Linked DNA regions of Schizosaccharomyces pombe. The gene in region 1 interacts genetically with each later gene. Each region holds a gene or a part of one and is shown in the gene's direction. Other genes may lie near its edges. The genes, in order: SPOM_SPAC3H5.11, cwf19, lin1 and SPOM_SPBC15C4.06C.

The links.
Region 2: mutations in SPOM_SPAC3H5.11 (region 1) and cwf19 together harm fitness more than expected from each alone (negative genetic interaction), as found in Schizosaccharomyces pombe (one large-scale study listed by BioGRID).
Region 3: mutations in SPOM_SPAC3H5.11 (region 1) and lin1 together harm fitness more than expected from each alone (negative genetic interaction), as found in Schizosaccharomyces pombe (one large-scale study listed by BioGRID).
Region 4: mutations in SPOM_SPAC3H5.11 (region 1) and SPOM_SPBC15C4.06C together harm fitness more than expected from each alone (negative genetic interaction), as found in Schizosaccharomyces pombe (one large-scale study listed by BioGRID).

What each region holds. Positions count from the first base shown.
Region 1 is NC_003424.3:3,410,264-3,419,036, reverse strand, and holds SPOM_SPAC3H5.11 (NAD/NADH kinase), read left to right. Parts: upstream 1-4,355; 5' UTR 4,356-4,540; coding exon 4,541-4,745; exon of another isoform or gene 4,746-4,798; coding exon 4,799-5,466; intron 5,467-5,516; coding exon 5,517-5,668; intron 5,669-5,741; coding exon 5,742-5,898; 3' UTR 5,899-5,983; coding exon of another isoform or gene 5,984-6,259; 3' UTR 6,260-6,305; coding exon of another isoform or gene 6,306-6,427; 3' UTR 6,428-6,467; coding exon of another isoform or gene 6,468-6,510; 3' UTR 6,511-6,768; downstream 6,769-8,773. Other genes in the region: protein hob2, read right to left, coding at 1-2,315; rpl3202 (60S ribosomal protein eL32), read left to right, coding at 2,996-3,379; protein new4, read right to left, coding at 5,984-6,259, 6,306-6,427, 6,468-6,510; rpl501 (60S ribosomal protein uL18), read right to left, coding at 7,202-8,086.
Region 2 is NC_003424.3:1,100,762-1,109,245, reverse strand, and holds cwf19 (protein Cwf19), read left to right. Parts: upstream 1-5,438; 5' UTR 5,439-5,498; coding exon 5,499-6,911; exon of another isoform or gene 6,912-6,955; coding exon 6,956-7,223; exon of another isoform or gene 7,224-7,266; coding exon 7,267-7,505; 3' UTR 7,506-7,561; downstream 7,562-8,484. Other genes in the region: transporter Hfl1, read right to left, coding at 1-191, 400-487, 543-679; nth1 (DNA endonuclease III), read left to right, coding at 1,406-2,473; Lsd1/2 complex PHD finger domain-containing protein Phf2, read right to left, coding at 2,717-2,993, 3,043-4,382; DNA recombination mediator Rad52 (previously Rad22), read left to right, coding at 7,709-8,484. UniProt on the Schizosaccharomyces pombe protein: Involved in mRNA splicing where it associates with cdc5 and the other cwf proteins as part of the spliceosome. Involved in mRNA splicing.
Region 3 is NC_003423.3:1,524,266-1,531,722, reverse strand, and holds lin1 (U5 snRNP complex subunit LIN1), read left to right. Parts: upstream 1-4,606; 5' UTR 4,607-4,757; coding exon 4,758-4,875; exon of another isoform or gene 4,876-4,921; coding exon 4,922-6,030; 3' UTR 6,031-6,146; downstream 6,147-7,457. Other genes in the region: pet2 (triose phosphate transmembrane transporter), read right to left, coding at 1,092-2,346, 2,409-2,503; protein Emc7, read right to left, coding at 3,248-3,817; chaperone, AAA family ATPase Rvb2, read right to left, coding at 6,218-7,457.
Region 4 is NC_003423.3:2,248,425-2,256,643, reverse strand, and holds SPOM_SPBC15C4.06C (ubiquitin-protein ligase E3), read left to right. Parts: upstream 1-2,933; 5' UTR 2,934-3,237; coding exon 3,238-4,908; 3' UTR 4,909-5,233; downstream 5,234-8,219. Other genes in the region: SAGA complex/transcription factor TFIID complex subunit Taf10, read right to left, coding at 795-1,442; dhx29 (ATP-dependent RNA/DNA helicase), read right to left, coding at 5,635-8,219.

The sequences.
Region 1 (8,773 bases):
GAAGTGTTGGTCTTCTCTATACGCTTGTGAGATTTATTTTCCCCAAATAGAGAACTGCAAGCACGATAAGCATAAAAAATACAGCAATTATGCAACAACGATGCAAAACACCTAAGAAAATTAATCTCTGTAGTAAATCGCGAAATGGCTGTATTATCACGAAGGATTGTGGACACGATAAAGTTAATGTTGGGGATTTGCAAGAATAAATGGCTATTTAAACTTTTCCCATTTTTAAATATAATTGATTTAATCATGAGTAACTCAAGATTCAAATCAAATTTGCGCATACCCTGTGAACGACTTTTTTTATCATTCAAATATAGACTATGTATTTTGTCAATAGAACAATTAATACCACGAGGTTCAGGTGAAATTTCAGGGCGAATAGCGGTAATTACTAGGAGCAGTGAGTGAACCTCAAGTTGAATATGCTTTAACCATTTGGGTATTCTAAAAAGAAGCGGTTCCACTAATTTGGTACGTGGCTTGCGAGGGCCGACTTGTTCAGATTTGATCTTTGTGAGAATAATAAACTTTTTCAACGAGTTAATGACCTCTTCTTCTTCAATTCGTATTTGAAAATCACGAAAAAACATATTTAACGATCCGTGATCGTTATTACAAATATAACCTAATGAGAAGGTAATGAGGTCGGATGTGTTGATTAGCCATTTTTTGTTTTTCGGATTATGGTAAAAAACTTTGTTAGAGCTTAAGCGTAGAGAAGACTCAATTTCAAATATATGCTCAGAGGATGGAGAATACTTGATGTCCAAAAACATAGAAGAAAGATTAGCAACTAGCATTCCAGGAAAGTCGGAATCGGACTTTGATGCAATCAAAAAACGCAAAGCAGGTTCGTACAAAGATACAGAAAATTTCATGTAAGGGAAGTATTGATAAGGAAACTTTGGCTTCTTTCTTGAAGTCGAATCGTGTTTTTTTGGGAAACAAGACAAAACATCGTGTAGCAACTCTAGGCGAAGATCCAATGATGGAGAGGTCAATGTACTGTTTACTCGTAAAATACTATTTTGAAGTTGATGAAGATCACTAGCATCACGAGCGTACTCGGCCAATGCTGAAGTCAGACACGTTATAGTTACCAAAGGAATATTAAGGAGCACGTGTGGTGAATGGCCAGGAGTGATACTTTCGACGTTGAAAGACAAAGCAGAGGCTAAAATTTGATGAACACATGCCTCTACGGGGAAAAACATTCTGTGGGAAGGATTCTTTTTGTTCAGTAAAATCAAATTCAGTCCAAAATCACTACCATTTAAGATATAGGTGGCTCCACATCCCGTTACATTTCTCTTCCAAAGCTTCAATGTACCGATCTGGATTTGAGCTTCCTGTAACTTTAATAAGGCCGCTTCAACATTATCCTTCATCACATGAACTTTTCCAGAGGAGGAGGAGGAGGAAGAATGATTTCCTCCGGAAGAATTTGAATTTAACAAATGCTCAAAAAGTGGAGTATCTAGATCTATATATAACACACCCACTTTGATGGAAGAACGAAGACGCAGAATCGTGTCAGGAACGTTTGATTTATCTAAAGAGTAATAGGTTTGTAAGCTTAAGTCCAAATAATCGGTAATCTGTTGACTGCTCTGCCGGCGGTCAATGTAAACCAGGTTTGCCAAGCGAATGCTACAAATTACGCAGGAGGATACAAGTTCGGGATCAGACGGATTTTCATATCCAACGACATTATTGGTTTCAGGACGCATTTCCATCGAAAGACTGCCCAACTCGAATGTTCCTACAGAGGGAAATGTCAATTGAGATTCTTGGATACTAATGTGAAGCCATTTCATCCAAGATTTGTGAAGAAACTGAATCCATTTTTGCTCCACATTGCGAAGTAAGTTAGACATGTAAACGGCATGACAAAATTTCTCCTCCGTTTTTTCTTCCTCACGCTTTGCTTTAAACACCAATCGAGATCTTTGGTTCTCATTCTTACCAGCCGATTGTGCATCATTAGCACTGGAAAGTGATGGAGTATAAATCAAGCCTTTGGTTACAATGCGCAGTAAATAGGGCTTGGAAGTAGAAGGACGATGCAGACGAAGTGCCACATACGAGATGAAAACCGAGTCTCCATTACGGAACGTGTGTCGTAGGCCATACACGGAGAAGAATCCAAAATTTGTAAAGGGCCATCCCAGCACGTATGACAGTACAAAAAGAACCAAATGAAAAAGGAAACCTGTCGCTATCACCACCCAAACGAATGAAGTGTTTTGCGAGGACGACCACATCGTTGATGGATTAAGCAAGGAAAAAGGAAACAACGGGTTCATCAAGTATGTAAACACATAGAGATTACTATAAGTTTGTCGTTTTTCCTTTAATGAAAAGGTAAGGAAATTGCAGAAACGGAGAGGAGGGAGGAGAAAGGAAACTGTGTAAAATAAAGCTGGTGTAACGAAGAAATCCAACTGAGCGGGAAGAGGCGGGAAGGTACACGCTATGTCAGTGATCAGCGAGAGCGGTAGTCGCTTGACTAAACAAGTTTAGGGATTAACGGCCACGTGGATCGGAAATTGAAGTCGCTTGAGGAAACCGTTAAATATTATATCGATATGTAGCGCATACATTTTTAAGTTTATTATCAAAGTAGAGGGATGTGTGCGTTATTTTTCAATTTGTTAAGTATGTTTTGCGTATCTTACAAAAAGCTCGGTATTTAAAGGTAGTGAAACAATTTCGCGTTACGGAGGAAACATTGAAGAAAAGCAATCAGTTTGATATGCAAAGCTAAATACGGGATATTACAGAAATGAAAATGAAGAATGATTAGTTTTATAATGTTATTGATCATTTAAATAGAGATATTATTAACTTCTTTTTCAACATGTCAAATCTGGGAACTATAGCGCAAAAAATGAAAACTCAGCTACCATCCCCATAAAAAGCAGTCACGTTCGTTCCAAAACACACTCACAACACAAGTGCTAACTTTTCCACCCACACAACAGAAATGGCTGCTGTCAATATCATCAAGAAGCGCACCAAGCCCTTCAAGCGCCATCAGTCTGACCGCTTCAAGCGTGTTGGAGAATCATGGAGAAAGCCCAGAGGTATTGATAGTTGTGTTCGTCGTCGTTTCCGTGGCACCATTTCCATGCCCAAGATTGGTTATGGAAATAACAAGAAGACCAGATACTGCATGCCTAATGGATTGAAGGCTTTCCTAGTCCGTAACGTTTCAGATGTTGAGCTCTTGTTGATGCATAACAAGACTTATGCTGCTGAGATTGCTGGTAACGTCTCTGCTCGTAAGCGTGTTGAAATTGTTGAAAAGGCTCGTGCTCTCGGTGTAAAGGTCACCAATGCCGGTGCTAAGGTTCGCTCTCAGGAGTAAATTAGAATCACGACTTAGTACAGTTAATGAAAGTACTTTGGTATTGGAAAAAAACTCTTTGTATAATCGTTGATAACTTTTAGTTTATTAAGCGAAATTTCCCTTTCACAGTTTAATTTAAAAAGTTTCTCACTTTTAAAAAAAATGGTTAAACGTGACGCAGTCGTTTTCATTTAGCTTTTCTGCATTCGATAAGATGAACGAAGAGTTCTGAAACAGATCATTTGGCTCTCAAACCGTTTAAACGTATATCATTAATATTTTATTTAATTGAGAACTATTCTTATATTTCGTTCAAACACATCAAATATGTATTCAAACGCATCTACTCGGGACAAATTTTTTCAGATCTGTTTAAGCTTATCTCTGCAAATGTATATCTAGACTATTCGAACATGAAGCTGTCTACTTTAACTTATAACTTCAAACCTCATCTTGTCCATTTAAACCTTCAACTTCAAACTTTTTTCTTTTCATCCTTGGTTACATTGTATATTTTTTAACGTTGTCTTTGGTTTTGATTTAAAGTACCAAAGATCAATTAGAAAGTGTTTCAGTGGATGACAACATTTCATTTTTCAAAAACTTTACATATTTTAGCGCTGATCTGAGCTGGAGGACGCTGGATTTGCAGGTTTTTTGGATTCCTACATAATTTTTTCGATAAATGTTTTGCCATCGAGCACTCTTATATCCTAATCCATTAAACTGGTTTGTTCTTGCTTGACATAAATTCTCTTTTTTATTACTCAAAACTGCTTTACTAAGCAGATTAGGAGGGTCGTCAGCCCCTCAAACATTAAAAGGAGATTGTAGTCAGTGTTGATCTTATACTTTAATTAAATAGACTATTCTTACGTATAAAACACTGATAATCATTGTCTTATTTTCTCAAACTAAGTATTTACCGAAATAATTTACGCATTATTATCATACGTACGCATCCACCACTTTCCGTAAGACCTTAAGTCTCTATATAGAAAGAGTATATATACATACACATACTGGCAGCAGCCATTTTAGCTTTTTACAGAGCTTACACATATATTTTGGCTTTATTTTATTAATTTGAAAAAGAATAATATTTATTTGTTGGGGTGTGATTCAATTCAATTAAACATTTAGATACTTTTTGTTGGCGACCCAGCAGTTTTTGCATTCATGGCGGAATTCGATGATTCATGCTTACCAACAAATCCCACAACGGAAAATGATTATCACGGAAGCTTTCCATATTGCTCCGTTCATGCACAGTTGTATCCATACGTTTCAGATTGCATGGTGATGCACAGGAAGGCACCGATCAACGAGCAGGAGGCTTTACGAGACGTAGTTTGGGAAACTCGTACAATTAATAAAAAACTTCGTAAGCAAACATTGATATTGACATTCCCGGATATTTGCTAATACGACGATTAGATGTAACTCCCATCAAGCCCAACATCACTTCGATTTTGCTCGTTTCCAAGCCTGGAGACGAAGAAGTAGAAGAAAAACTCAAAGAGTTTGTATATTGGTTAATTTCTTTAGATAACATAACCGTTTTTATCCAAAAAAGTATGGAGGACCTCTTTGAAAAAACTGAAAAGATTCAGTATTGGACAACACTGCTATGTACCAAGCATTCTCAGCTTTTTGATCTTGTATTGACACTGGGCGGCGACGGAACTGTTTTGTATACTAGTCGACTATTTCAACGAACTGTACCGCCAATCATGCCTTTTGCAATGGGTACATTGGGTTTTCTTACTCATTTCGATGTCAAAAAGTACAAGACTTCCATCTTGGAGATTTGTAATGAAATGTACGTCCACCTTCGTACACGATTTGAGTGCCGTGTAATGAAGAAAAAGAATCGTACACAATGGATCAATATCGATGAGCACTTGTCTCAGTCACTTCATGCCACAGACACGGAAACACACACATTTACTGATTCCTTAGTCGTGCTCAATGAAGTTGTCATCGATAGGGGTCCCAACACTGCTATGAGTGACATTATGCTTTACGTAGATTCCAAATATCTCACTACCGTCAAAGCAGATGGTTTATGTATTTCTACTCCTACTGGTTCCACGGCCTATTCAGTAAGCCACAATTCCATTAAATTTTTTATATTGTACTAACTATATACTAGCTTGCCGCTGGTGGTTCCTTATGTCATCCAGATATTTCCGTTATGATTGTTAGTCCTATATGTGCACACTCCCTTAGTTTACGACCCATTCACGTACCAGATTCTATGGCTCTTCACGTTGTAATTCCTCAGGATGCCCAACAAAGTAGTTGGTAAGTTAATGAAATAGTGCTCCGCTTCAGATGTTTTCTATAAAATATGTTTTTTTATCTAACATTTTCTTAGGATTTCCTTCGATGGCAGGAATCGAACTGAACTGCTACCAGGCGATTATTTGACTGTCCGCATTTCGCGGTATCCATTTCCTACAGTTCATTCGACAGAAGAAGACGCGGACTGGTTTGAAAGCATAAAACGTACATTGATGTGGAACCAAAATTAGTATATTACACTTAAAAATTGATTCATTAGTTTTCCTAGAATATAACGAATTTTCATTAGATACAAAAATTTTCCTTTAGTCGTTTTTATTTCTTTGTTTTTCTTGTTTCTATTGCAACCATTTCATCTTGATCAATGCTCGCGGATTCTTCATGTTCTAAGTCCGCTTGTGCCGCACGACTTAATTTTTCGTGCAGAAAGTCTGTTAGTGTCACTTCGTTTCCCTTCTCCCGATCCCTTGAATTGTAAAGATTCATTAAATGCTCCAATGTTCCCTGGTTTTCATTTGCCTGAATTTCGCTTTCCGTATCTTCTGATATGGAGTTCTCTGGTTGTTTTTCGAGCACACCTAACGCTAAATCCTGAAATTTTTTTAGTCACATAATTCATCTTTTTCCTGAAACTTACCATTTCTATATAATTACTCTCATCTGACAAATTTTGAACGTCCTGTTGTGAATCCGGATGTTCTAGTAGCGTTTGATTTGCTTTCTCCAATTCTGGCAAAAATGACTTGCACTGGTCCAAGACTAATATATTAAAATGGCTAATCTTATAATTCAAACATACGTGATGATCTGGTAATTTCAAATTTGGGAATTTGTTTGTCCATTGAATTTTTAATATTTACGAAGTTAGGGAAAGTTCATATGACTTCAAAGAAGTAAATGCGGATTATATTTGAACTTTAATTATTTTTTTTTAATTGCCTTTCTTTTTAACTTTTAAGAATAGTCGAAGAGATTTACTTTTGACTAACTGAGGTGGCCAAGGGTGTTGCAAGGAAAATATGCAGATTTCGGACAAGAAAATATTAATTGAGTTTTGTCTCACAAACAATAAAATAGTACTCTATTTTGTTAACCAAAAAAAACTTCTGATAAGTGCTTTATGATAATGGCTTTATTATTGTAGTCAAGTAGGTGTACTTGTTCAGTGTTTCAGTCAGTCAAAACATCGACGAATGTAAATGCGGAATTCAATATAGCTTTCAGTTTAACTGCTGCATATTGCAATTATTATTATAATATTTCATCTTTGAAAACAATCCATTTCCTAACAATATGAACTTGCAAAATCTTATTTTGGGAAAGACGATATACCTTATACGATGTAGAGCTATTGACAAAAACTTGTTGACCTAATTAATTTGCAAGCTAATTGATTTTACAAAGTTATCGTCATGCAAAACTACCAAAAACGTGTGATAAAATCTAAAAATCATGTACAGAGCTACAAATCTACTGAAATCTATAAATTTCGGAAAAGAACAGGACATACTATTAAAATGGTTTAAGATATACTTAAGCACGACCAGCCTCGATAACCTTGGCGTTGAAACGTTCCTTGCGCTCTTCAGCAGTGAGTTTCCTTTGAGTATGCTTGAGTGACTCAGCCTTGAAAGCAGCAGCATCCTTACCAGACTTTTGGAAAGAGGGATCCTCACGGATCTTGGCATAGGCCTCAGCATAGATGTCCTCAAGTTGATCACTCTCAATACCATCAGCGATCAAACCAGAGAATTGCTTTTGATAACGCTCTTCATCATCATCAATAAGCATCTCCATGTATTCAGCAACATGGCCACCATAGATATATTTGCGGAGAGTCTCATCATCCAACTCCTCGGTTTCAATATCGAAACCAGGGAAACGGTTGGGAGAGTGGGGAATAAACAATCCACCATCAGAAGCACCCTTCATGGCACCAAAGACACGAGAACCGGTAGAAGTACGCTTCAAACCAACATCCAAGAAAACCTTGAAAGGACGAGGACCATCCTCGATGGCCTCGGTAAGCTCAAATTCACCTTCGGGTTCAGTGACACCCTCATATTTGTCAGCGAGGCCAACCTTGGCAAGAGCACGACGAGCGACCAAAAGACCGGTAGCGTAGGCGGCAGTCCAGTTGGCCAAACCCCATTTGATACCGTAGCGAGGGAGCTCAGAAGAGTGAGCATGAGCAAGAACATAGTCACCGTTTACTCTAGAAGAAACTATTTGGCATGTGACGAAACGGTTGGAGAAACGAACGACCAAACGGTACTTGGGAGCATTGTACTTGTTCTTGGCCTGGGCAATCAAACGCTTACGAGCGTAATAATCGGTTTTACCCTCACGACGACGACGATATTTCGTCTGGTAACGTGAGAAGTATGGGCTGCTCTTGACTGCTTTGATGAAGGGCATTTTGGCAGTGTGTCGAATTGCTATTTCGTGTCATATGAAAAGTTTCGAACGCTTGTGACTGTCTATTTGAAAAATAAATAACGATGAGATGTTATATGTTGTTAACGACGAGATGTTCATTCGTTAGTCAGATTTAATGAAATTTCAATGGTTTCGTTATCTATTGTAAACAAAAGCTAAAAAGGTAGAAATAAAATAGCTAAAAAACCGTTGAGCGGTACACCAGACTGAAATAAGGATTTTATTTTTTGCATTTTTTTTAAAGATTTTTTTTTTTTATCTTATGTTGATTGCGGTGGATTTCACCAATTTCCTACATAAGCTAAAATGGATTTTCTTGACAGTTACGGTAAAGTTGGCTATCTAAGTCTTTGATGCAATTTAACCTAATGTCAACTAGAAAAGAAATAAATATTATTTATGTCATATTCTATTCACTTTTTACAGGTTTTTGTTTCGCAATGACTGAATGTCCTTATCCCGATGAGAAAATAGACTTTAGTTGCAAACGAATTCATTAGAATGTAAGACATGTCAAAATACTTTCTGATGATATATATACATTTTACACATATTTGCTGTAGAATATAATTGTTCGTCAATGAAGCAGTAGCTTTAAAGCATTTTGCACCTTTGAATCATATGTATAATTAAATAGATCAGTAGAGGAAGTAAATTTAGTTAAAT
Region 2 (8,484 bases), 2.3 Mb from region 1:
CAAGTGTATTGTAAAATCCCACGTTTTATAGAAAGGAAGGTGTAAGGATCACTTAGGTCAATATCATCTTGCAAATAATTCAAGGGCCATAACCTAGGACGAGGCAGATGTCCATGCAAACTAATAACTGCAGCCCGTTCTCCGCCAAGATAATCAATTAATAAACAGAAAAAGCAATACAAAGCGAATGCCTAATTTATTGTTAGAAATTATTCCATTAAAACCTCAATTACGCCTCATTAACTAACTAAACTAGTAAACCAACATAGTACAACTCATAACAGCCAAACCACTCTTTCAGTCAACCCCTTTTCAAGCATTTTAAAACAAATCTGCAATATATTGATTGCCAAGGAAGGTACTTCATTCAATGGCAACGGCTAAATGAGAAAAACCTACCTCGTAAATTTCACGAAACGGTTCGAAAATACTTCCAATTTTTTCATTGTATACCGATAAAAACGATACAGAAGAGTAAATTACAATCCTAGCAAAGCATTAGTACATTTCTATATCAGTCAAAGAATTTCAATTTTACGAACATCATCAAAATTCGCACCACAGAACGCTGTAAGACTGGTTTTTTGTAATTTTTCAAATGAGTAATGATAGAAATACATGATAGCACTAAAGCAATGGCTACGAAGAAGCCGCATAATGCGACTATTTCGTTGTCCATGAAATTAGAGCTGATCGTGATGAAGGGACAAAAATGCAGGCAAGGTGGCTACCACAAGCTATAAGGGGGCCTTCTCCAATTCCAAACAGATACTACCTACTACGGGCTTTACGGTGTTTGTACGCATAAGCTATAGATAAAGTACCGAAACTTTGTGATGTGGAAGAGTTCATCGAAGCTAATATTGATTTACCTCTTTAGTATGGATATTGTTTTATAGCAAAAGTAAATTAATAATACTGTCTTACAGGATAATTTGCCCTATAGCTGTAGTACTGCTGTAAAAATCATTTGTTTCCATAATACTAGCAATTCGTGATCTTTAATTAATCTAATTTTTGTTTTTTTTTTAAACTCTACTTTCCTCCCTTCTGTATGATGGAGGACCTAAAGTAATGTCTCCCATAGCATTCTGATGATTCTTAAGCTGACTTTTTGAAAAAGAAGCAGTAAAATATAATGAGTGTTTGTTTCTTAATGCGTAGGAGAATTTCGCCTTGGCATATATATGGCTTAGTTAAAAAATTATTTCTTTTATAAAATTGAGAAACTCCAAGTCAGACTATTACCGCATTGTATTCAAAACAAATCACTTATAAATTTTAATATTTTTGCGCTCACCTGCGTTGTTTCTTGGATGTAATATCGCTAAAGTTCAGTAAATGAGTTGTTGAAGAAAATAAAATCTTTAGCCAAGACTGCAGACAAATTTGTATTTGTTAAGCAATGAGTAAAGACTACGGAACTCCTCCTGAGAACTGGAGGGAGGTTTACGATGAAATTTGTAAAATGAAAGCCAAGGTCGTAGCGCCTGTAGACGTTCAGGGTTGTCATACATTAGGAGAACGTAATGATCCAAAAAAATTTCGATTTCAAACACTGGTGGCATTGATGCTTTCTAGCCAAACAAAAGATATAGTACTGGGTCCTACCATGCGAAACTTAAAAGAAAAATTAGCTGGAGGACTTTGTTTAGAAGATATCCAAAATATTGATGAAGTTTCTCTAAATAAACTAATCGAGAAAGTTGGTTTTCATAACCGAAAAACCATTTATTTGAAACAAATGGCACGTATTTTATCAGAAAAGTTCCAAGGAGATATTCCGGACACCGTAGAAGACCTAATGACTCTCCCAGGTGTGGGGCCTAAAATGGGATATCTATGTATGAGTATTGCATGGAATAAAACTGTTGGAATTGGAGTAGATGTTCACGTACATCGTATATGTAATCTTCTTCATTGGTGTAATACGAAAACTGAAGAACAGACTAGAGCTGCTTTGCAAAGCTGGCTGCCTAAGGAATTATGGTTTGAGCTGAACCATACACTTGTCGGTTTTGGGCAAACAATCTGTTTACCAAGAGGAAGGCGCTGTGATATGTGTACTTTATCTTCTAAGGGCTTGTGTCCTAGCGCCTTTAAAGAAAAAAGTGGCATCACAATAACTAAGAGAAAAGTCAAAACGATTAAAAGAGTCAAAAAAAGACCTGCTTCTGAGTCACCTCCTCTATCTCCACTCTCCCTTCCTACAGATGATTTGTATTACCAAAGCATCGAAGATAAATCACTTATAAAACTTGAGGACTTGGACCCTGTTGATAGTATATCACACATGAATGAACCTTTGAAAAAAGAACCAGCCGCTGATATTGATGTAGATCAGAAGCCACCTGTCGCATTCCATTCAACTACAAAAGAAACTAGGTCACTGCGCAGGTCAAAGCGAGTTGCAAAAAAATCATCCCAGTATTTCTCCCAACAAAGTTTACAAGATATTGAAGATCTGGTTTAATTTATTTTTAGGACCGTAAATTTTGGACAACATAAATCTGTTATTTATTTACATGAATTACTCAAAATTATTTATTCTTTACAACTCCGTCTTTAAACATATTCAAGAACCTTTTGCTACTGACTGTATAGTTATAATATCCTCTACCTTTACTTTTTAATAATTTTTTTAAATCTTGGAATAAATTGAAATCATTAATGTTGTTATACCCTTCAACAAACAATGCAGAATGTAAGATACTCGTTAAATACTACTAAGAACAATTGGAGTTTCGTCGAACATATAATAAGTACAAAAGTTTTCGGTTAAATCCTCTGTGTGAGGCGTATACAGCATCCAATCGATAGGAATGGGGCCGGTTATAGATATGTCAGGGCGCACTGATGGTCGATCGGCATCAAACGTTCTGTTCAGTTCATAGCTGCTACCCCTCGCATCACGTAAAACACGGTTTTTACGGACCAGTCTGTTTAAGCTTCGAGTTATGTTCGAATTTTTAATTTTTCTATTCGAGTATTTACTAGAATATTAGTAATTGACGATGTCAGGAAAATATATAGAAAACTTACGCTTGAATAGTGTTAGTGATAGTAGAAAAAGAAACAGCAGCAGGGAAAGATTCTAAAACTTGTAAAACTATTTCATCTTCATTGCTATATTCTTGTAAGTATTCATCTATGGTAGGAATTTTTTCACTCTCCATGTATTGCTTATCCACTTCAACTGGTTCGGTCGAAGGTAAGGACGTCGAATGCTTGGTTGTTTTCGATTGTGATTCTGTTCCATTATTTAGACTTAGATACTGATCTCCCGTTACAGGTTCATTCATAGTAGCTGTAAAGGCAGACCTTTTGCTTTGGAGCTCTTGGACAATAGTGGAAGTTTTAGGACTATAGAACGGGATGTCGGGATGTAATTGCTCACAGAATAATAGGATGTCAACCAGTTGGGAGATCGGAAGACTTAAAAGATAAGACTTTTTCTCTTCCGAAGACAGATTTAGTTCTCGTGCCGTAGTTCCAGTTACGAGAGGCGCTTGCTTTTTTCTCCTAATGCAATCATCACAAAACCATTCTCCATTGGGGGAATCTAAAAGTTCATCAGAAATATAGGGTTCATGACAAAGTTGATGGAATGGAGTGTTACAACCATCACAGAAAACGATGCGATTTTTTGGTGGAGATTGAAGTCGTTGACAAACCGAACATTTCATAGCTAATGCGACCACAGGTCGACGACCTGGGCCACGTCGTCTAGTAGGTAATTTTACAAGGGGATCGAAATGATTAGGGCGATGCACTTTTCTTCCTGATTTTGTTTTGACACCTTCCAAATTAAATTGCTCTTCCCTACCATCTTCAGTAGAAAAGAGGGCGTCAGCGGTGTTGTCACGTTCAATAGCCAAACTGGCAGGCCATGATCTTTTCCGAGCAATGTTCATAGCAATTGACATAGGAGGTAATGGCGATGAACTTGCAGGAACATTTGGGGGTAACGCAGATTTTGTTTGGGAATCAGCACTTCTATGATGCGCATAATTAGATGAAGATGCGTCTTCAGTGAAAGGTGCCTGTTCGCTTTTTGCATCGGTTTCCTGATTTTTACTAGATTCTATTTCTTTAGCAACATCATCATTTTTGTACGAACCGAAAGCACCTGACTCCTTGTTTGGCTCGTGAAAGTGTTGGAACTGATTTTCCAAATGCATGTTTGAATTCACGTTAGGATTTTGTATATCCTGAAAGGCTTGATCTATTAGCACAGAGCCTCCATTTTGATTAGATTCCTCCCCCTCAAACATCGTTGGATGCAAATCATTGGGAAATCGACGACTACCGTCGAATTGAAAAGGATATGATGCCGCTTCAAAAGAACCGCCATCGTCGTCATAGTACGATGAATTCGGCATTAGGTTTTAAATCATTCATATGCTCATGTAAAAAACAAATGAAAAAATGAAGCAAATGGCAAAAAATGCGAATGTGTAAGTTCAACACGCGTGTTTGGAATTTAGGTGAGATTTAACGCAACTTATAAATCGTTTGCTGCTGTTACTCCAATTATGTTTTGCTAGCGAAATGAGATTGATCATCACTATATCTCGCTTATTCACTTCTCACTACAACTCACTGTCTAGTCATATATAAATACTGCACGTATCCATGAAGAGCTGAAATCTCACATTTATTAGAGCTTTTTTATTTTTAATTTTGTTAAATTTAATTATTCATGCATTAACTAGTCATAGCTATAAATATGAATGAAAATTTGGTCTTTCCTTTGTTTATATTTCCTAGATGGCCTAACAGCTATAATTGATTGAACTTGTATGCTATTAAAGGCGATAAACAGACTTCTTTAGTACTTTGCTAAAGAAAATATAATTGCAATGATCCAATTACACTGGAAATACAGGTATAAAAAATCGTCACAGTTTGGAAACAAACAATGCTTTTTTTTCTGTGGCTGTTGTGTAGCTTTGCTAGTATCATAAACTCATTGTACACTAGCGCAAGACACACTATACAGTAGTTAGCGCGAGGTATTTTATTATTCTTTCCAACTTATTTGTAATGAAGTTCAAATAAACAATGGGTAATTTAGTACTACTAAAGTCCTTGCGTTATTTAAAAGGTTTTTGTTTGAAGTTAGTGGTATATATTTTGGAATCCTAAAGTTATTGTATCGCCTTTCACTGTCAATGTGGAATACTGCAAAGGCCGATACTCCTTCTTTCAAACTTAATTGTTTCACTTTCTTTTCTTTCCATTTCAACGCAATATTTTACAATTTTTTTTAATTTAAAAGAGAATTCTGATCATTGTCTAAACTAAACTCCTGGCAAAACTATCATTTGCGTTGCTTGTTTAGATCTGCATAGTGCCTGAACCACTTGACTTAACGAATGTACTACTACCATCGTTAAGTTACAATAAAAACATTATTTCCTTTTTCCCACCATTTTGCCTCTAATTATTGTTAAAAATTATTTATTTCATGAATTAATATTAAAATAACGTCCATTATGGAAAAGGAAAAGCTTACAAATAGGACCAGTACTCACAAATTCAATGAAACTGACAGAGAAACAAATCACTCTAGAAGGCATCGTCACCACCACTCTAGGCATCGTGAGAGCAAGCATGGACGACATGATCGCAGTGAAAGGCCAAGCTCTAGAGAAGCAGGTGACCGAAGTAGGCATGAAAGATTTAGTAAAGAGCCATTGGAGGTAAAGAAACTTCCTGTTGAAAATGAATACTTTGACTCCAAATTCGCTTCTGCTTCTTCCATGCCATCCTCCAAAGACAATCCACAGAATAATGACTTTACTAATTCATTGCAAGGTTTGGATTTTGGTACGTTCGGTTCGCGTATACAAAGAGAACCTATTGACCGAAAGTCCAATAAGCCTGGTGAAATTTTTGTTGGTGCAACATTACAGAATGAGAGTTCGACGAGTACAGAACATAAAGATATAGAACAGCTTGAAACCGAAATTAATGAGTCAGGAATTAATTACAAAATTGGTGATAATGGCTCTCGATGGCGTATGATGAAGCTCAAACGCGTATTTGACATGGCTCAAGACCAACGACGCCCCGTTGAAGAAGTAGCTCTGGAACGTTATGGTTCATTGAAAGAATTTGATTTTGCCTTGGAAGAAAGAGATGAGTTAGAGCTTCGAAAACGAACTCGAAAAGTTCAGAAAGAAGTTCCTACTGGCGAATTATATGAAAAACGATGTGCTGATGAATTTAAGACTAGAAAAGATTCTGGTAATGGCGCTACATACTACAAAGTAATACCTGACCCTTCTGTAAATAAAGATACTCCCACTGAAAGCGATTTGAATAGATTAAAAGCTGATTTGTTACGTGCTCAACTTAAAAAGGATCCTAACTATGAGTCTTTAGAAAGGGAATATCAGAAAGCTTGTGATGACTTCGAAAACTCTTTACACCCTTCGGAAAATTCTAATTCGCAAGCAACCATACCATCAAAAAAAAGAAACTTCGACGATCCTACTATTGATGAGATGGTACAGGAAGAAAAATTGTTGAATAAACAACGGAAATACGGCCAGAATTATGAATACGCAAAGCAGATTGCAAAGGATAAAACTTATTCTAACAATCTGGATTATTTGGACGAAAATGCAGGGAAACTTTCTAATCGAATGAAGCGCGGAGACGTCAGTCTAGCTCAAATTAGTAGTGGTGGGGATCTTAAAAAAATTAATCATGTTTTGGACACTTGTCCTCTTTGCCTAAATTATGAAACACAACCTTTGGCACCAGTAATATCTTTAAGTCATCGTGCTTATGTTTCTTTACCAACTCAACCCGAATTAGCTAAATATCATTGTTTAATTGTTCCTACAGGACATCGGATAAATACCCTCAGCTGTGATGAGGATGAATGGGATGAAATCAGAGTATGTTAATATAGTAAAAGGAAATAACTAACAAACCTTTTTAGAATTTTATGAAATGCATCGCCCTAATGTTTGATTCCATGAATCTTGGTGTTATTTTTTATGAAAACGCGCCTTCACCACAAAGATATATGCACACAGCTATTGAGTGTATTCCAGTCTCTAAAAGGATCCTCTCACTTGCACCTGCTTACTTCCGTGAAGCTTTGTCTACTTCTGACGAGGAGTGGTCTCAACATCGAAAAATTATTGATACATTAGAAGGTTCGAAGAAGTATGGAAAATGGGCTTTTCGAAAAATGATGGTTAAGGGTATGTTTGGAAAATCGTAATCATTTATTTTACTAATGATTAGAATTGGGTTATTTTCATGTTTGGTTCAGTATTGATGGTGGCTACGGGCATGTCGTGGAAGACGAGAAGGCATGGGGGAGGCACGATCAAGTTCCTAGGCAGGTATTTGCCAGTATGCTAAACCTTCCTCCTGAAGTAATCAGAAGGAAAGGTTCTTGGACAGGTAAAAAAGATCCACGCGAAGATATGTTTCGCAGTCGTTTTGAAAAATTCGATTGGACCAAGGGATTAATTGATTAGTAATTACGAAAATCCTTTAATTCAAATAAAATTTTGTTTTTATTTTTGTATCTACATTCTTTAAGTAATATTCATTACTGATGATTTGTAAGATCTTTATTTTCATTAAGTGGTTACTCGCTATGCTACCTTATCTTTCTTTATTACTTGGTACCTGTCCATGTGCACACAGCTAATATACTGCTTCATATAAGCTAGAAGGGATGTCTTTTGAGCAAAAACAGCATGTAGCATCAGAAGACCAGGGCCATTTTAACACAGCGTATTCTCATGAAGAGTTTAACTTTCTTCAAAGCTCCCTAACTCGAAAGCTTGGACCTGAGTACGTTTCAAGAAGGTCAGGTCCTGGGGGTTTTTCAGTCAGTTATATTGAGTCTTGGAAAGCAATTGAGCTTGCGAACGAAATTTTTGGATTTAATGGGTGGTCTTCGTCGATACGCAGCATTAATGTTGACTTTATGGACGAAAATAAGGAAAATGGACGTATCAGTCTTGGCTTGAGCGTGATTGTTCGCGTGACAATCAAAGATGGTGCCTATCATGAAGATATTGGATACGGTTCTATTGATAATTGCCGTGGAAAGGCTTCAGCGTTTGAGAAATGCAAGAAAGAGGGCACTACAGATGCCTTAAAACGCGCTCTACGAAATTTTGGAAACAGTTTAGGAAATTGCATGTATGACAAATACTATCTTAGAGAAGTTGGAAAAATGAAACCACCCACTTATCACTTTGATAGCGGTGACTTGTTCCGTAAAACAGATCCTGCAGCGAGAGAGTCTTTCATAAAAAAACAGAAAACATTAAATAGCACGAGGACTGTTAACAATCAACCTCTGGTTAACAAGGGAGAACAATTAGCTCCTCGTAGAGCTGCAGAATTAAATGACGAACAGACAAGAGAAATTGAAATGTATGCAGACGAAGAGCTAGACAATATTTTTGTAGAGGATGATATAATTGCTCATTTAGCAGTAGC
Region 3 (7,457 bases), on another chromosome or scaffold:
TCATTTATATAAGACTACTATAATGATCCTTAATTGCATTGCTATAAGTAGAGCTCGAATTGAACCACGTTTAAGAGTTCAGTTGCAAGCTATTCAATACATTAGTAAGTACAATACTGGTATCTTAATTTTATTTACCAGCATTTTCAGTTACCTCTACAATACTGTACAACGACTACTAGAAATAAAAATTACTGTATCTTTAATCCAGTTTAAAGAGCGTAGAAATCGCAGTTTTTATACATTACCATTTTATACTAAAAAAAAAAAAAACCTTATGTGGAGCGAGAATCCCAGCTTTTGCTTTCTTTTTAAACCAAATAATATTGATAATATTTACAAACCTGTCAAGTATTTTTTGTGTAATTTTTTTTATGGAATTAATGTTTGAAGAAAACAGATCAAATCAATGCCAGCTTGGATAAAAGAGTTGAAAAAATAATATAAGAGAGGAAAAAAGGACCAACCAGTGGTAAGGTAAATGATCAATGACTCGTATCAATTATAAAAAATAAGCATCGAGCATGTGCTAAATTACTATGGATCGAGTATGTAATAATGATTGAAACAAACAATCATCATGTAATGCGAAAAGAAAGGAATAAAACGACTGTAGAAGAAAAAAAAAAGAACAGCTAAGCTAAGGTAAATTTGTATGCAAGTTTGCAAAGTCAGAATATAAAAGTCAAAGAAATGAAGAAACAGACTGCGGCAATAAATAAAAAGTTTTACAGAAGAATGGTGTAAAACCTAACTATCAAAGATAAACAATAAAACTGTCGATTATTTATTTAATTTTGCTTTTATTGTTTAACGTTGCTTTCGTGTTGAGTTAATAAGAAGTCCAACTATACACAATGCTAAATTTGCCCTCAACAAGCAACCAATAACGCTCATATATTTCTTCTTCTTTCTATCCCTTTGATATTCGATAATTTTTTAGATGTATGATGAAGTATTTGAAAATCCCGCAACTCAAAAAGTGTAAAACCATACTGATGATCGGAGCCAAGGATTGACTAATGTAGTGATAAACACGGGCAATGAAAGCATCTGATAAAGGCATAGTATATTGCGGCTCCCTGATAAAATTAAATTTTCAATGTTGGGACAGTTTCAGTGGCCCAGAGTCTAGAGGGTTGAGGGGCTTTGAAATTGTTTAATTGAAATGTATAGCTGGAACGCCTGTCATGTATGTTGGAGTTTGAAAAGTCATTTTGCGTACTTTGACGCACAGAAGCAGGTGTAGCATTACCCGAGACAGAAGAAGTAACTCCTTCATTAGAATAGACTGAATTAGGGGTCATTGGGGAGTCTGAAATAAGAGGTACCACACTATCAAGACGTGGGGTGATTTGAGGAAGGAAATTCTTTCCATAAAATGGTGATTGTGTTCCACTAGAAGGATAGGACTTTTCATCTTCCATTGTTTGCTCTTCTAATTCAAGTGCATCCTTTTCAAACTCCTTTACTTTACAAGACTCGTATAAATTGCCCTTTTTACTGCGATCATACAACCAGAGACCGATAGCTGTCAAAAAGATACCACTTCCTTGGGTAAAATTTGTAGCTTGTTGAAACCAAATGATGGAAACTACAATCACGAAAATGCGCTTGATGAGACTTGCTATGGAATATGCAACAGGAGAAATTATGCTTAATAGGGTAAAAGCCAGAATATTTTGAAAAAAATGAGAAAGACCATTGTAGATCAAATTTAGGAAAACCGGTGATCCGACTTCAGGGAGGTAGGCAAATCCTTCTTGGTATAGCCATACAGGAATCATAACGATAAATGCGACTCCTGAAGAATAAAGTAAAAGATTTAGTTTGTTGTAATGTTTTTTCGTGTGAGTGCTATGAGATTTTGCCTCCATAAATATTTTACTGCCAAAAATATTTTGGGAGACAAAAATGCAAGTCGAGATTAGAGCGTACAAAAGCCCCACTATATCAGCAGACAGTTCAAAAGAGCAGGCCAAGGTAACGCCAAATGTTAGAGGCACTAAGGAGAAGTAAGTCATGGCAGAGTAAACATGGCGAAACATGAAGCGATAAGCTAAAACAGTGAAAAGTGGGGATAATGCCTTTACAGTATGTACAGTTGAGACGGGAATTTTCGTAGTAGCCAAACTTCCAAATACGTGTCCTCCTATTTGGAAAATACTTAATGGAAGAGTCGTATATAAAACGTATTTACTGGGTTTTTGAATACCTGTGCCACCAAGAAATTGCTTTCTAAATAGAAGGCAAACGGCACTGAAAAATGCAACGAACCCAAATTGAAGGAAGGTCAATGTAACCGGGCAGCGTAATTCATTGAAAATACTTTTTGAAGTTGTATTACTACAATAGTTAGAATCAATCAGACCACCATTTCACCTTATAAAGGCACAACAAAAACATACGTAACGGCACTTGATATATACCATAATAAGCAAAGAAGAAGAAATCCCACCTTCTCATGGAATAAAATGTGGCTAAGTCGCTCTCTCAAAACCATAGATCCATACACTTTGTTGAAGTTCAGAACGTAAATCAAATAAAAAGTCCTTCGCTAACACCACATAAAAACAGGAAAATTGCACGAAATTTTTAAACTAGGACGAGGACTAATTCTATTAAATATACAATTAGCAAAAAAAAAGTGGTTGGGTTTGGTTTGGTTAGCTTCGTGCTACGTAATGTCAACATATAGTGAACTACATTACACTGTCAAATTCGTTGTTGATATATGGATAAATAAAAACGAAGAAGGTTGGTGTGAAAAGTAAATAAAAAAAATTGATAAAATATTTTACACTAAATTTCTATTATTTTCCTTGCATCTATATTTACCTTTTGTTGCATTTAAAGGCATCAAGTTTACAAACTAGCGACTTTAAAGAAAATTTGGTGAAGGTAATTTTTCAGAAGCTAATATTACTAAACGGGAATGACTGAATCAATAAGCGAAATAAATTAAACAACTGTTCATCTTTTTCGAAATTCCCATTTAGTACCAATTCTTTTAGCAAACGAATTCTATTAATTGACTACGAGTTCTATCTACTGAAGATATAGTTTTCTACATTTGAGCATGATTTAATGCCCGAATAGAATTTTGACTAACAAATAATTATCGAGTCAAAGAAAAAACTGAAATCTAAATGTTGACCAATTGTGGTCCACTTTTTTCCCTTTTTTCTGCAAGACAAGTTCCTATTCCAAGTAAAATAAGTTTCACTAACTATTATAGGTAGCTTAATCAAGCAGTTTTTTTCTCAGCAGCCTCTGCAAGCCTAGCTTGCTCCAATGCCTTGGCTTCAATGTTAAGTTTTGGAAGGATAAATACAAGAACAACAGAAGCTAAGGAAAGCAACATCATTGGGCTTTTTAATAAACGTATCAGGGAAAACTTTCTTGGCTCCTTCAAATAATCGCGTTTTAGAACAGCACGGACTTTAATAGGATAACTAGTATTCTTAGCGGTCGAACTAGCTGGACGTTTTTCGGCAGGCGAAGTATAGTAAGGGTAGACGATCGACTCATTGATTATGATGTGAAATTCGGAGAATTCATAGTCTATACTTTCTAACCGTAAGAAATATATTTCATCAGGGACATTGGGAAATGTAAAACTACCATCTCTCTCCACTACTGTCTCAAACGTTTTATTGCTAGAGATCAATCTGGCTCTGGTATCATAAGACAATAAATTAATCTTGGGAAGGATAGTATTGGTTAATACTTTTCCATATACTTCAGCTTGTAACGATTGCTGAATGCAACCAGCAAAACATAAAACCGATAACAGCAAAAATGTGTGTAATTTCATTTTTTTTAATAGATAAAGAAGGTAGCTTTCAAAAAATTGTGAGACAGTAAAGAATGGATGTCCACGGTTGAGCAGGGACTATTGAATGTCAATTATTAATTTTCAAACAGGGTCAGATAATAAACGAATCTTGAGGTTTAATAAGAAAATAATAGATGAAAGAAAATGCGCAATTTAATAAACAAGAACAGTTTTCCGAACTTGATAAGTCACTACAGTGTTTGCTTTTAGATGAATGACCTTACTTCGTGCTCCAACAGTTATCAGTAAATAGGATAACGAAAAATAAGAAACTATGGGATTCCAAATACCACACTTATACGAAGCTTGTTATATAGTAAGGTAAATAGAAAAATAATTACATATTTGATAACAATGCAGATATCTTAAAGATAAAATGCAAATTAAATGGAAAAAGGTCACTCCATAATAGAATTTTTTGAATTGAATGAGAGCTTGATGTCTTATTTTACTGTTATACAGCGAATCTATACCAAGTTTCACATGCAATGTCACTCTCAGGATGATACCGTTCTTACGTACGGCGATATTATTATATGATTTTGAAATTGTAAAATTTCACGTTTGTTTTGTACATACAGGATTAATTTTCAGTAGTTTTTTATTTTGAAGAAAGAATCAATAATCAATATACTACTGGTATAACGCACAATCACTTATTCGTTGTCAGTAGATAATGCTTCATCTCTTTATTTTGCTAAACGTTCTTTAACAGAGATGTTTTCAGCTACGTAATTTTATAACTGCATGTAAAAAAAATACTATAGCATGAGGATGAGATTATTATTCGTCGTGCATTATTTTTTGGTAATATTTATTTTTGTATAATCATTTTATTTTTTCTATTGTTTCAGATTTAACACTTAATAATCTTGCACTCATAACGAGTTCGCAATTGCAACTACATTTTGTGTGAACAATGAAGCGTACGCTCAGAAACCCTGGCAATTCGAGTACAGTGGGTGATGTTCACGATGTTTTTTTTGAATACGATGTAAGCAATGTAGGGAGAAAACGTCCTAGGACAAAAGAAGAGGGTATGCAAATTCATTTGTTGATTTCTGTCTAACATTCAATTCACAGGATATTATGAATCTGAATCTGAAGAAGATGAAGACCAAATTCTGAATAAAGAGAAGAAGGAAGGGCAATCGGAAGATATGTTTTCTGATACTTCGGAAGATGAGAAGCGTACTCTGCCAAATGATGAAGCGCAAAAGCGACGTGATTTCATTGAAAATGGCGATGCTGAAAGATTAGCACATAAAGGTTTGCGAAATAAAGAGGTTTTGAACGACGATTCTGATGATGAGGACGATAACGGAAAGTATTCAAAGTTAAGATATGAAGATATAGAAGGCCAAGAAGATACAAATCAGGCTAACGACCTCGACGCGGATGAAGAAGGCAGTGAGATATCAGTTCCCTCAAGCCCAAAACGAATGTCCTTTAACTTAAAAGAAGATATGGAGGAGGGTGATTTTGACGAAAATGGTAATTTCATACGAAAAAATTATGACCCAGAGTCTCAGTATGATGCATGGCTCAATGGCAGTGTTTCTAATAAAAAAAGCATTGCAGCAGCCAGAGAAGCGGAGCAGAAGCGTAAGGAAATGGAAAACAGAAGAAGGAATCAAGAATTGGAAGAATTTAGTAAACTGCCTTTTTCCACGGTTCCTGAAGCGTTATCGTTTTTTATCGCAAGAATGGAGAGAGATGAAAGTATTTTAGAATTTTTGCAGAGACAAAGTGGTAACAAAAAATCGTATAAGAAAAAGAAAAATAATACCGCAGAGGGCATTTCTCCTGAAAGGAAAAGTGCTGACGCTTTTCGGAAAAAATTAATAGAACTTATAACTGCTGGTCTAACTTTTCTAGAGGATAAAATTGGAAAGGAAGATATATACTCGGAAACTAGAGAATCTCTTCAAAGAATTTATCAAAAACTCACGTCAAATTCATGGTCTTCTCCTGTTAGTTACGACGACTCAAATTCTTCACAGTACAACTTTAAGTGGGAATTTGACGATAAGACGTACGGCCCTTATACCGCAAGCCAAATACAGGCTTGGAGTAATGAAGGTTATTTTACGGATGCCAAGCATGCAGCATTTATACAATTAGCAAATATGGATGAATGGATGTATCCTAACAATATCTGCTTTTGCGATGTAGTTTCTTTAAAGAAATAGTCAAAGTGGATAATAAACTATTTTATTTCATTATATAACAGAACTTATAGCTTGTACCTTTGAATTAACGGAAAACTATAATTCGATAAATAAGTCTAAATTAAACTTGTCTTGCAACCTTTATAAAGACTTGCTATTTAATACTTTCATATTCTTAACTATAACAAAATATTCGTCTTTAGTGCTTTTAATCTTCCTGCATTGCAACTGCATTATCTTGTGCACCTGAAGCCGACCACTCATTTTCGGTTATGTAATTCTTTCCGTATTCCTCTAAATATTCAACACTTCTTTTTTGATCCAAAAATAATTCGTAAACACGTCGGATATCGGACTCCTCAATCGTAGCACTTTTGCGCTTCAAAGCAACCTGATTAGATGAAGATATAAGAAGTAATGCGTAGCGAAGACTAGTCTCCTGACCAATAGTGGAAAGGTAATCTAAAGCTGAAGGCTCCATATCAACATCTTCTTCTTGACAGCGAATCTTCAAGATTTCTTTTACCTCTTCATGGGAATAGGGCAATGTAGAAATAATCAGCATACGATCTAACAAATCAACTGGAATGCCATGAGGGGAACGATAATTTGTACCTCGAATACGAGTAATTCCTCGATTAGAAGCCATAATAACGATAGGAGCTAGGTCATCTTCCAATGCGCGATTGAAAAAAGAAAAGCACTCAATATCTAGCATATGAACTTCATCAACGAAAAGTACACCAGGGACTATTTCGGCTTTTCCTTCTTCTCTCCACTCACTAACTTTGGTGTTAATTTGTTCACGTACTTCTGGTTTAATCTCACCAGTATCACCTGAGAACAAAGCTAAGAATCCTTGTGTACGTGAATTAATAACATCAATGTCATGTAAGGAGACGGTATGGACTACCTCCTTTCGTTTTTGAATTTCTCCTTGAGGACATTGAACAAACCGAGTGTCAGCTCCCATAGCATCATAATCCCTTGCCCTCGAGAATGAACGACCGAGCTTAGTAACTCTTCCCACTGACTTATCAATACTAATAACATCACCAGCTAAAACCTTTTCTTTTGTGAGGGAATCAATCATCTTTGTTCCTAAATCATAAACCGTTTCCATGTCGGTACTGCGAATTGTAAGCTTGCCTTGCTTATTACCGCCAGTAATAGACCGATCAATTTGAACTTCCACAACCTCTCCTTCAATAATTTCTGTCTCCTCCTTAATACGGACACCTATGCTTTTTCGCAAGGCTTGCAACAGGGCTTCTGTTTTCGACATTTCCAAAGAGTACACTTCACTTGCAGAAAGTGTTACAAATGGTGTGTCACTACCTAAAGATTGAGCCATTCCCATTGCAATAGCAGTTTTACCAGTTGAAGGGGGTCCAGCCATCAATATGGCTCTTCCAGCTATCCTGCCTTCTTGTATCATTTTGAGAATT
Region 4 (8,219 bases), on another chromosome or scaffold:
ACTATCAGCGCTATAATGTTTAAATAAACAGAATGGATCCTTTGAATAGGATAAACTATAATTTATTATAATCAATTTATTTAATTTTGGGTAATATTAGACTTAATTAAAAGAGGAATACCAAGTACTTTCCTTCCTACAATCAAAACAAGATGTTTGCTTGTAGGAACTGATAATCTTCCTTTGCCAGATGAAGGCAGTGATTTTTCTTGAGAAGTCTGTATTTGTTTAAGGTTTCAAGCATTACATTATTTGAAAGAGTACTGGTAACTGTAATTATATTAATTTTTACTTTATATACAATGCATATTATAATTAGAAGCATGTTAGGTTCTGACATACTATGAGGCAGCTGTCGACCGCGTAATTGACACTTTCAGAAGTGCTTTTCAAAATGCAGATAGTAGCATAACGAAGAAAACATTTACTACATCAATGTTGAATGAGAGTATCAGTGTAAAACAAATTCAGCAAGTGATAGCGAGAAAATAGTAACTATGATACATATGATAAATTTTATAAAATATAAAGATAAATAATCCCTCATATGAAAACTACTGCTGAAATGGATCGATATGAGAAAATGTTTTGAAATTATGATCATCAACAATGCCACGCCAAACCGAATGTGCTATCTTCAAAATACATAATAATTTCAAAAAAGTGTAAAAGGTTAGAATTAACAACAATTAGTAAACAAAAATTTTATAGGAAAATGAGATTTCAGAAACAAAGTTCCACTAATGCATTAAGTAAGGGTCTCACACAAGTGGCCTTAGTGGGATAAAAAGTCTTTAACGGAAGAAATCGGGCCTTTTCAAATTAATTCCATATTCATTAAGAGCGGCACTTAAGTCATCTACAGTGAGCACGGTTTTTCCACGGTCACCTCTTCTTCCGCTAGATCCAATCCCGGAAGCGCCTCCGGCTCCAAAATTCTGCGCACCAAACGTAGTTGAAGATGCATTGCTACTACCGGTTCGGATTTTAGAATATTGATAGGCGTCTTGAGCAACATCAGAAATAAATTTTTGAGCTGTAAGACCAAGAAGCTTTTTTAAGCGTGGGTCAACACATTTAAATCCAGATAAACTGAGGTAATAATCCAATAACACATCTGGAATTAAGGGAGAGTAATCATCCATTTGGGCCAAGAAATTTTCAAGTGTTTTGTCTTTGGCCATATCTCGCAATTCTAAATGCGGTTCTATAACATAATTCGAGCCATGCCTTTCTCTAGAATCATCGCTTTTGGGAGAATCCTCGTTATTTAAATGTGCAGGGGATTCTACACTCATTGGGGCGAGATTGTCACCAGTTGGCAGATTTGTGGAAGACGTTTCGGGTTGTTCATCAACACTCATCGAATTATTTCCATCTTCTGGTTCTTGCTTGGGCTGTTCAATATTTTCAGCTGGCTCATTATTGTTAATGTCACTCATTCTTTCTTTATTTGACCGATGTTGTAAAGCAAAGAATGTCTTTCTGCAACTTGATTCAAATCCGTGGTTCCTTGATTTATCGTTCGACTTATTGGAAATAATAGGAAATTTATTTCCCTAGCTTATGGACTTAACTTTTAATACTTTAATCCAGTGTTTCAAGAAACCACTAGGCCAACTAAAATAGGGATGGTGGAGGTGGACTATATTCTGTATTCGTGGTAAAGTAGCATTGTTATTTACGTATATAAGGGCTAAGATCGAAAAGTAAATAATTCCAATTCTTGGAATAATGCTAGTTGAATAATAGAAATTAATATATAAGATTAATTAACTTCTGGTAAAAAGTGTTGTTTAAAATCGGTATTATATAGAGTTCGGAGCGAAGTTGGTATCTACTACAATTTTTGCTTCTATAAGCAAATGTTCAGTTTAGAGTTGAATGGCAGCCTTCTTGGACTTGAACATATGTATTCAAAAGTAATTATTATTCTCAAACTACAATGTTATTCATTTGCTGAGATGAGCATTTTAAAGTTTGCGCAAACATGACTTCCAGTTAATATGTGTTTAAAACAAATAAAAAAATTTACTACGCAAAGAAAGGATATTTGAGATTAATTTGGTGCACATTTTTTATTTCTCATAACAAACTACATAATCCATTTCCCCATACTTTACCAATAATGTATTGCTAAGCCAGATCAAAGCTACATTAGATATCACTACTAATTATTGTTATTTTCATTTCAAAACTGTCGGATCCATACTACTGATCTTTAATGATCAGGACGAGTAAAACATCTTTAGGAAAATACAATTATTGAAGAAATATCTCAACCGAACAAACTACCCTTTCCTAGTTCAGTTGTAAGTTAATACAGTAAAATATAAAATTATATAGTATATTATATCTTAGCCTTCTTAAACAAATATGTAACCGCTGTACTAAACGAACTCCATAAAATTATACTAAATTACGAGGTAGCATATCACAATAATTATATCCTTATACTAGTTTACAAAGTATACTCAAACAACATTAAATCCTATAACGTATTCCTAGTAAATTGCTTCTTATGTTTAAGGAGGATATCTTATTGTTTAATTGATCGCTAAGCGATCCTTTTTTTATTTATTTATTATAGTTCTCTCTGATCATTAATTCTCCAGCTATGCTTACCTTTTTGAAGTATCACTTCTTCGTTTTTTTATTTCTTATAATTACCATTTATTATTATTTAGTTTCTCACACCTGTTTAAAGCGCTTGTCGAATCACCAAACACAAATAAGCTGTTTTATTTCACGATTGTTTTTCTCGCCCTGCACTTTATGCTTTGTTTGTTTCATAGTTTTTCCTTCATTAAAAAACTTCTTCACTGAAGTATACTGCTCATAGTGAAAATATAATAACAATTGCTTTCCACATGTATATCACATGTATTGTGTACTATGTACGCAATATGTCTCAAGATGTTCATTACTTAGCCACCACCAATTTGTGGTTTTCAAGCTTGAGCTAGTATAAGTTAAAAGAATCACACTTTTTACTTTCTAATTTTTTGAAATTTCCTTTAAAAAATTTCATTAATTGTGTTCCACAATTCCTGCTTTAGAGATATCACCACTCAACGTCTGTTTATTGATTGAAAGCTTACCTTTCAATTACCATTAAATTTGATTCATTATTTAGAAAGATTGGTATCAAAGCAGGTTTGTTTTTTGGTAATCTTGAAACCTCCTGTTTCCTAGTTCTTTGTGTTTCTTCGTGCCTTAAAGTTTGTTTAGGTTCTTATGCATCTGTGTAATAACCAGTTGCTTGATCATCTGGATTGCAATGCAGTTTACAGAGGCTATGTTTCACAAGAGAATAAGGTAAAGAGGAGAAAGCGGCTGTTTAATGCAATTCGTAAACTATGGAATGAAAGAAGGCGATATCGAATGCCAAAGGACGAAAGTATCTCGCCAACTCCAATCTCTTATTCATTTAGATCATTAAGAAGAGGCCATACTAGTGGGCATGCTAGTGAACACACTTCTTCTTCAAGATCTAGTCATGATGAATCAGATTCTATGTCCAGTTCTAGTGAATCAGACTCGGATTCTGTTTCCAGTGAATCAAATCCCAAATCTTATTCAGATTCTAGTACTAGTTCTGCAAGGTCGTCCTCTACTTCTGGTTCAATCTCCTTGTATGATGATTATTACCCTGCTTATTCCAGCAATGCTCCAAATACTGCAATATCTAATTATGTTAGCTCTGGTCTTTCATATTACGGAAATTCATCTATTATTATGAATGCTGTCGAATACAATCAGTTCTTTCCGCTAACCATAACTACTCTTATTGTTAAAAACAACAAGAATGTTGTTTCAAATCTTCCAAAAAATGTCTCATTTTACTTCCACTCTGACAACACGGTCCTTTTGAATGAGTATTACAAAAGCTTGTCTAAACTGAAGAATAATTTTCGTGGAATTATATATAAAACTACTCCTTATGGTAGCTGCAATGACACCGAGTCACTTCAAGTTGATACCAAGGGAAGCGTATGGTTTAGAGATGTTTCTAATATGGGAAGTTCTGGCTTAATCGCATTCGCGCCGTTTGACTATTGTGCTCCAATGCATGTATTGCAGGCTGTCCAGGATAGAGCAAAGGCAATACTATTTTATAATGCAAGCACTGCTAGTAATTCATTAACCAATTTTGACCACTTTGAAGATGCTGTAGATATGATTACCTTTGAAACATTACCAATGGCACTCATATCTTACGAAAACGGCATCGCTTTTGAAAAGATTCTCAACGAATACTCGGCTTCTTCTTTAAATTCGGTGCAGGATGGTGGAGCATTAGTCGAATATTTTGGAAACATTGATGCTACGGCCCGTTTGGGCGTTATCATCAGCAAGGAACCAAAGCTACTTGGCCTCTATATATTCATTGGTGTGTTATTGGGTTTAATCGGTGTCATAGGCCTTTTTATTTGCCTTCACTTTTCTGGTGCAATGAATGGATTTTATAGACTCTTAAATCGTCATGGAATTCCTGTTCAAGAAAGAATTGTGAATATTGGACCAAACAAACCAGAAAATCGTGTTACTAAAGAAATGCTCGATACTTTGCCCGTTAGAATGTTTTCGGGGCCTCATCTTGCCAATCCTAATGATGAGTTGGTTTATGAAAAGGATTGGAAATTAGACAAATCAGAAAGTTTTGATGGACAGGGAAATGTGGTTACTACAGCCGAAAGAGGGAGTAAGTATTTCGATCAGAGGGAGTGTACTATTTGCTTGTGTGAGTATTCAGAAGAAAGTCCTCTTTATCGAGAACTGCCATGCCATCACATCTTTCATCCGGCTTGCATTGATCCTTATTTATTAAAAAATTCGGATCTTTGTCCCCTATGTAAACAGTCAGTTACAAACATGTTGGAAAATGCTTCCGAGGACAATGTTTAAACTGCATATTTATGAATTTTCTCCATTGGTTGAGTAATTCCTGTACTTCTACTCATAAGGATAATTTTTTTTATAATCTATATTAGCATATTTTGTTCGACTCTCATTCATTTACGTTATAATATTTTGCTTGTCTTTATACGCATACGCATACTCATACTTATTGTTCAGTTCTTCCTACGACGAAGAAAACTTACGCTTCCTTAAGTTCATAATTTTCTTGCATCTTTTAATGGGCTAATTATCTATTTCTCATCGTTCTAATCTATTATTTGTGTTATCGTATGAATTCTATAGTACTATATAAAAGCTTACTATACATGTCATTGTTTACTATAAAAAGTTTAATACACATGTTGCTTGCTAGTTTATGATGAAGGTACAAAAAAACTATTAAGTATTTTACAAATTAGCCGGTCTAATGCTAAATTGCATATGTAAATATTTTTTTCTTTTCATTTAGAGACCTATTTTGATATTCTAAGAAAACGATATACAGTTATAATAATTGACATTTTTGGATTTGAGAAAATTAAATACTCTGAATTGTGTCTCATAAAATAGAAAAGCCATCAGTTTCTGCAATGAAGCCTTAGATAACTCCATTTTACACATTTATGCTCAACCAACATAATTCTTACATTTTCCAAATGGAAAGAAAATTTGCCTGTCATTAAGCAGATATGTGAAAACCAACTTTCTGATATTTCATTTTTGATACTTTCATTAATCTTTGAGACGTTTCTGAAATTTGGTTCCGTAATTTAACCGTGAAACTATGTTAACAATAACCTCAAGATGGGAATTCAATAAGCGTTTATCAGGTTCAGCAAAAAATTCGTTTAGAGAAGTTTCAATAAAGCGACGTAAAATACTTAAAGATGCCGAAACGTAAACATTTTCAAAATATACTGTAAAGTTGTCAAGCTTTGCTTGTCCAACTGATACTCTATTTTCGACTTTAAGGCCGCACATCATTAGAAGCTGGCGAAGAGTAACCATAGTAGTTTCATTAACATACTCACTAGCTCGAGTGGAAGACATCATGTTCGTGTAAGCAACGAATTTGGACGGCATGTTAGGTAACTCAGACCTATTATTCACCGATACATCTAAAATTCTAACACGCTTGTTGGTACTCAAGGTTGACCACTGTCTTTTTTCGTAATCATACCTTAAAATGTTTGGATACAGAGATGCAGCAATTACGCCACACAGAATTTCTGCATTTCCTGAGTTAATATCATGCTCTTTGGGGATAACGGCAAAACGCCGGCATATTGAACGTTTTAGGCTTTTGCAAGTATCAACATCCGAAGCGCCTAAAAGTTTCATATCCTTCAACTCAGAAAGCAGTTGGATTTTTAGTGATTCTGTCATACTTAAAGCCTCTAAATTTAAGTACTTTTCTTTGGCAAAAGAATCTTCATCAGGGCCTAAAGGTGAAAGGCAAATCTCTCGCCAAGCGCAGTAAGCATAATACATCAAAACTAAATCACTCCTGGTATTCTCCTTAGCGAATGATAATCGGGCTTTGTTTGCAGAAAATTCATTGTCAACAGATTTCCTAAAAGGTGAACCGATTGTTAACATGGCTACTATTGAAGAAGCGGCATCTACACATTTGTAGAAGCATCCCAAAACCAAGATTTTTCCTAAATTTGCATCAACAGGTAATTGCGACAAAAATTTGCCGAGTTTTGTTAATTTTTCGTTTTCAGAGAGCGCTCCCACTTGATGAAGCTTTTCTAAAGCACGAATAATATTGGTAGAGGAAGGTGGATCTAACGCCTTGCCTAAGACATCTTGTACATCACCCATTTGGCACATCTTTACTCGCAAAACAACTTCTTGCAGATTAAGTCTCAGAATTTCAGGTGTCTGGTAAGACAAAAATTGGGTATCATGTTTGAATTTTGAGAACAAATGATAGCAGATACCTTCCTGAACACGACCAGCACGTCCACTACGTTGCTTGGCATTGGCCTTAGATACAAATGTATCAGTTAACCGAGAAAGATGTCTTCTACTATTATAACGCATTTCCCTATGTACTCCTGTATCAATCACACAAGTGACATCTGGAATAGTAACACCAGTTTCAGCGATATTTGTCGACAATACAATCTTGCGGCACCCTTTGGGAGGGATGTTAAAAACGGACTGTTGCTGCGCAGAGGATAGTGTAGAGTGTAGCATGTATATACAGAACTTACGATGATTTCGAAACATAGGCATATCTTCGATAAGAGATTTTACACGAAGGATCTCCGAAATACCAGGTAAGAATACTAATACACACTTACTGAATTTCGGATCTCCTTCAGTGAATATATACTTTAAGAGATAAACGATTAAACCATAGTTAATGGCTTTCTCGTTATACCAAGCTGGAATTAGGTTCATTTCAACAATGGCATCCTCCGCAGATTTGTTTGAGATGCTCGCATCTTGTTGGTCGGTTTCATAGTCATCTTCCTCTATAACATCCTGTCCGGCAGCGTTACCGAACGACTTATCATTTCCAAACTGGGAAAGTATATCTTCTAAATAAAATCTATGCACTGGATATGTTTTACCAGGTATTGTGATTAAATTACTTCCTTCAAAGTATAACTGAAACTTTTCGGCGTTTAAAGTTGCACTCATAATTATAATCTTAAGATGAGGATGTTGTTTAAGTAAATGAAGTACATGAATTAAAAGAAGATCCGAGTCAATGCTGCGCTCATGAACTTCATCAATAATCAGATGAGTCACAGACTCTATTTCGTTTCCAACTTCTAGGAGACGCAGAAATGTACCTGTAGTAACATAAGTTAAAGGTGTTAAAGGCGTACATTTGGAATCCAGACGAACAGAATAACCAACAAGCTCATGCGAACGAGCTGAAGGAGGATTGCCGCCAAGTTCCTGAGAAACACGATTAGCTAACGATATGGCACTGATCCTTCGAGGTTCTGTAACATAAATTTTGACTGCTTTTCCATTTTTTGTAGAATTTTCCAACAGAAAAGCAGGAATTTGCGTACTTTTACCGCAACCTGTGTCTCCTGATATAATTAAGAGTTGACTATTATTGACAGCATCAATAATTGTCTCTCTAAACATCGTAGCTGGCAACTGATTACGGAAAACCTTAAATTTTTCGGCTGATTCACTTTCAAGTTGTTGTCGCCATTTGTTTAGTAAAGTCTCAGGTGGCCTTTCAAATCCAGAAAACTTGCCAATATTATCCATAGGGGCCATGAGTTTAGAAGTGGTAGCGCTTGTTGGGGTCTCCAATTCTTTGCTCTTTATAATGGAATCCA